Neurospora crassa OR74A: one gene and its partner. The protein of the gene in region 1 binds, or shares a complex with, the protein of each later gene. Links are inferred from orthologs where the notes say so. Each region holds a gene or a part of one and is shown on either strand. Other genes may lie near its edges.

What was found.
Region 2: the proteins of stk-4 (region 1) and NCU06593 are in contact, whole or in part, in an NMR structure (PDB 2RQW), measured with the Saccharomyces cerevisiae proteins. The link is inferred for Neurospora crassa OR74A from reciprocal best matches to the Saccharomyces cerevisiae genes STE20 and BEM1. Residues at the interface, in NP_011856.1 of Saccharomyces cerevisiae: Asn467, Gly468, Lys469, Phe470, Ile471, Pro472, Ser473, Arg474, Pro475, Ala476, Pro477, Lys478, Pro479, Pro480, Ser481; in NP_009759.3 of Saccharomyces cerevisiae: Tyr164, Phe166, Glu169, Lys170, Ala171, Asp172, His188, Glu191, Trp192, Ile194, Pro204, Leu206, Pro208, Gly210, Phe211, Val239, Gln240, Lys243, Ser244.

What each region holds. Positions count from the first base shown.
Region 1 is NC_026506.1:2,076,101-2,079,065, reverse strand, and holds the end of stk-4 (serine/threonine-protein kinase ste-20, variant 1), read left to right. Parts: coding exon 1-734; intron 735-879; coding exon 880-1,214; intron 1,215-1,342; coding exon 1,343-1,444; 3' UTR 1,445-2,382; downstream 2,383-2,965. UniProt on the Saccharomyces cerevisiae protein: MAP4K component of the MAPK pathway required for the mating pheromone response, haploid invasive growth and diploid pseudohyphal development. Links the pheromone response G-protein beta gamma subunits to downstream signaling components.
Region 2 is NC_026504.1:1,740,109-1,742,605, forward strand, and holds the end of NCU06593 (MAP kinase activator), read right to left. Parts: coding exon 1,729-2,497; 3' UTR 724-1,728; downstream 1-723.

The DNA of each region.
Region 1 (2,965 bases):
TCCGATCGCCACGGCGAACCAGACTGCGGCTTATCAGCAGCAATTGTTGCAACACCAGCAAGAACAGGCCATGGCCCAAGCCCAGGCAGCAATGAGCGGTCAACTGAGCCGAGCTGCAAGCAAGAGACAACAACCAACTCCGCCCACCTCACAACACCAACACCCCCGGCAGCCAGACATCAATGGGGCTCCTCGTATGCCACAGACTCAGGGGGCGGCTCCCCAAGCTAGCGCGAGACCCCGTCACAGACCGCGGCAAAGTAACGCGATTGATGTCGTGGCTTCCCTAAAGAGGATATGCTCCGACGGGGATCCGAGAGAGATTTATCGTGGGTTTACCAAAATTGGTCAGGGTGCCTCTGGTGGTGTGTATACTGGCCATGAAAGGGGAAGCAACAGGCTGGTGGCTATCAAGCAGATGAACCTTGAGCAACAGCCAAAGAAGGATCTCATCATCAATGAGATTTTGGTTATGAAGGAGAGCTCACACCCCAATATTGTCAACTTTATTGACAGTTACCTATGTGCTGGGGAATTGTGGGTAGTCATGGAATACATGGAGGGTGGTAGCTTGACGGATGTTGTCACGTTCAACATCATGACTGAAGGGCAGATCGCGTCAGTTTGCCGAGAAACCCTCAGAGGCCTTCAACATCTGCACTCCAAGGGCGTCATACACAGAGATATCAAGTCAGACAACATTCTCCTTAGCATGGAAGGCAATATCAAGCTCAGTAAGTTTTCCCCTTCGGGCTTTTTGGGCAGTCTCCGAAAGTTCAAACTTTTTGAGCATTTTCCTGTTCATTTTCCCACCATCTTCAACCCCCAACGCCCATCTGGTGCTGTGACCCGATTCTAACCCTTGTTCTTCCACCATAGCCGATTTTGGATTCTGTGCTACAATCAACGAAGCTCAAAGTAAGCGTACGACAATGGTCGGCACGCCTTATTGGATGGCGCCCGAGGTTGTGACACGTAAAGAGTACGGCCGCAAGGTGGATATCTGGTCATTGGGCATCATGGCCATCGAGATGATTGAAGGAGAGCCTCCCTACCTGACCGAGTCGCCTCTTCGAGCGCTTTGGCTCATTGCGACCAACGGCACGCCGCACATCAAGGATGAGCAGTCACTCTCACCAGTTTTCCGCGACTTCCTCTACTTTGCCCTCAAGGTGGACCCGGAGAAGAGGGCCAGCGCTCATGATCTACTAAGGGTAAGTCTTGGTTCGCCCCTGCATTTTGAATGGCCCTCTGTTTGCGGCTCTTCACCTGCTACGTTACGCTACCAGGCTCAAGGAGATGGTGATATTTCCGCCGGGCACCGAGCTAACTCTTGTAACAGCACGACTTCATGAACAAGTGCGTCGACCTATCAACACTGGCGCCCCTTGTCCGAGCAGCAAGGGAAGCCCGAGCCCAAGAGAAGGCCCGTAAAGGGCAGTAGTGTATGATTCTTCTAGGCGTTCTGTGCTGTACACGCACGCACGAGAGATATTCCCCTGGAGCGTTATTGTTTCACATCCCCCTTTTTGTTCTTTAATTTTTTTTTCTTTTTTTTTTTTCCCCTTCTGGGTTCTAAAGCAATTCTCTTCTGCAGCAGAGATTTGTGGATTAGGTGTGGTTATCAACCCTATCTCTACCTTTACGTGGCCGGTCAGGTCTTGATTTTGCATCTGCTGGAATTTCTTTCTTGGTTCGAGATATCTGTGGGTACCCGACACATAACATATGTACTTCGATCCTTAAACGCCAATTCTTCTAGGACTTTTTCTTTATCTTTGTTCACGAACGAAGGATATTCTGCCCCAACGAGCGAAGCGAACCCGGAGCACACACGTATACACACCTCTACACAGGAGGAAAAAACGAACCGTTGCACAGCGAGCGGAATACGAAATGCAAAGTATGCAAGCAAACAAGCCGAAATCACAGCGAAGTAGGCATAGCACAGCGAGCCGGAGCGCGACGGATGTTTTATGTTTGCTGGTTTCCTCGATACGGCAACGGCCTTTCGAGATACACAGGTAACTGAAGTCTTTGCCTTCTTTACGGGTTATTACGGAATTCGGGTTGGGAAACTGGGAATTGTCAAGAGGCGGAACATCTTTTTTTCTTGGTTACGGATGATATTTATGGCAACTATACAACATGGACGAAGAATTTGAACTGCTGCACCAAGATGGATGGGGCCAGATTTTCACTTCAAGGGCTCACAGTGTGTTTATCAGGTAGGGACGTTGTTGGCGTTTCTCACACTGGCAGGGAAAGGACGTCAGGGACAAAGTGCACGCTTGGAACGGGATGAGGGAGACATGAACGATGGCTGGGCTGGAGAATACAGAAGTATTACTTGAAGTGGACGTTGAGAGACTTGACCCTTATACCCGTTTCCTCTCGATGCGACATTCATGATGTGTCAAATTAAAGAGCGTTGCTTTTGACTTCTGAGGAACCCCGACAAAGGTATGCCACCAACAGAAGCTCCTCGATGCAAGCTGCATCCCACAAGCCGGAAGAAAAAAAAAAAAAAAAAGGAAGAAGACGAAGAATTCCAGTCAAGTCAACACCGGGACTCCAGATCTCGGTCAAAGTCATCATCACCAACCACAACACAGAACTTCTCAAGTCTGCTCGCTCTCACACCCTAGTAACCTCCCTTCTTTCCCTCCGTTCAATCCTTCTCCAAAGTTGAAAACCCCTCCAGGCCGCAGTACACCGCTTCCTTTTCGATTTTCCAATGCCATCCCGTTACGATATCACAGAATACCACACAAAGCATTCAATGGCAGTGAACCCATTAGCCAGTATCATCAGTATACAGCACATACACCCAATCCCCATCCAACTCTCCACAATCACCATTATTAACTCGAGATCAGTAATAGTCTTTTGGGTAACTATGTACATGCCCCGTGTGGTGTACGCATAGTCAAACTCAGTCCCCCCGGCCCCCTGGTCTTTTAGT
Region 2 (2,497 bases), on another chromosome or scaffold:
CTGAGATGGGGACCCTTGCTTGGAACTGGCGTTATGCCTGCCTCGCTCCCGATACCGAGGCGTGTTTATTCTTCCATTTTTTTTTCTTGTAATGGGTTTAGTTTAGAGTTTCTTCCCCGTTCCCCGGTTTTTCCTTTCTTGTTTTTCTTTCTTCCCTTCTTTTCATTTCATTTTTTTCTCGTTTTGTTTGCTTCATTACTAAATATGTCTGTCTTGTTGGGCAACAGTCAGTCAGCCATATTTATCCTGGCATTCCAGGTATCGCTATGTCTACTTTGGGACTCTGGTGGATTGCAACTGGCGTTTCAGGTGTCAATTTTTTTTTTTAGCAGGGGAGCAGGGGTATACGGTTCGTTGTACGCCCAACTCACTTTTCATAGGTGATATGTGAGCCTCGGAGTTATTAGTTGGGGACGTATATTGCATTTCTGTATGCTTTTCAGTAAGAATTTCCTAGATCTGGCCTTCGGGCTGGTTGACTTACAAGCATTACATTGGTAGTGTGAAACGGCATCGACTTCGTTACTTCCAACTTTGTAAATATGTAACGAACTTTGACTGATTGTTGTGGAAGTGTCATTGTTACCATTGCTTCCTTTACCAGAACAAGAATGCGATGTATGTTTTCGATGGGCTTGGCATTTGCCGTAATTGTGCATTTATTCAACTTCCAATGACATTGTATAGCAGATGTCACATGCAATTATCGGAAGTCGCGATATCTTCAAATGTAGATTTATGCTACTTACTGGCTGCGAGTAGACCACCACTACTCTCTTTTCTCCGGTCATCTTTCGCTCCCAATTTTTTTATTACCAAAAACACCTTGACTGCACATGGATATCTTCAAATCTCACCTACACTGCAGAAACGATACCCCGTGTCCCCCGCCATCTCGGTCAACATCCTGAAACACAAAAAGCCTGTGGGTGTAAATTCATTTCATTCATCATCCATTCACAAGGGCCCCTTCTTCTTCTTCTTGTCCCTTGTCATCACCCTCAGCACCACCATTACCACCTCCACCACCTCTTCTTATGGTAATCCACCACCCATCTTCGACCTCGAGTAGCAACGTAGTTTGGTATCAAATTTAATCCTTCCACCCTCCCCCACGCCTAACCAAGAATCCATCTCCCAACTTGGCCCCACCGCAGCCTTCCAGCAAGCGCGCAGATCCTCCCCTGACTCTACTTCCTTCCTTTTTTTCACCATGGTCACAGACTCCTTTGGCCTGACTCCTGAGCTGTTCCAAAAAAATATCACCGTATCCCAAAGTCCCTGCCGCATCCAAAATGCCCCATGACCATCTGCGTCCCAGAAATTTTAGTGAGTGGAGAGAGACGAGCCGATCAATTCGAAATGTATTACAACGACTGAACCGCGAAGTCCTATATGATTTACGTATGCGTTTGGGTATATAGCGTGGGGTATAGATATCGCATTGTGTGTTGGATAAAGAGCAGTTTGTTGGCAGCCGTCAACGAGAAAAGATGGTATGTAACTGAGTGCGCAAATGAGCAATTCCCTCCACGTTGTTCGCCTTGCTTGTGTATGTAGCCATCTGGCGTGACTTTTGAAGGCCGAGCGCTTAGTTTACCCAGTTGCTGCCTTCGAATCAAATGTTCGTGAAACATGGCGCATGTGACCATGGTATCCGAATGCGCTGTGTATCGGAATATGGCCAACAAACGTGTATGGGTTGGGGTTTCAAAGTCCGTCAGTCCATTATTCCACGTAAACGAGCAGCTTTTCGTTCCGTTGCAGTGCAATATCCAGATCTTCGTCGTTCATCAGAGGAGGCTTCTCGCCACTCGCGTCGTCCTTGTAACTTAGCTGAACGTCCTCGCCCTGAGGAATCTTGAGACGATCCAGAATCTTGTCATGGAGAGCTTGGAATGGAATATCAGTGGGTACGCGGATGGCGATGATGTCGCCGTTGAAGTGCAGTTTCACTTTCATCTGTGAACCACCCTGCATAATAGCAGGTGACAATGAGGTCTGTGAAGCCTGCCCAGGTCCCGGAATCTGTTGGCCGTTGCCAATGCTCAGCTGCCTCTGAGGAACACCGAGACCGGCAGAATATCTGTTGCCGGCTGTGCTCTGTAGTGAGAGGCCGTCGGCTGGTGAGTCAGAGGACGGACCAGAGCCTCCAGAGAATCGGTATTCCTCGCGAGCAACGCTAGGGTCGATTTCGTAATCACCCTCTCTAGGAGAAAAGAACTGCTTGACCAGGTTACAGCGGGAGATGTGTGGCGGTTGTTCCAGTAGACTTTTAACGTAAGAGTCAAGGTTGTGGCGGCGGCCTTCCGTAATCGCATCAGTCACGTAATTAACAGGACCGGGCATGTAGGGTAGCGTCCGCTGCTTGCCGCCTGTAGTTCCAGCTTCAAGAGGGAACTCGGTTAGGAGCGCGATTTGGAAGTCGTAGAAATCCTCGTAGTATCGCGAAAGTTCGAAGCATCGACCATCCTCCAGTTCGGCTTCAATAACAAAC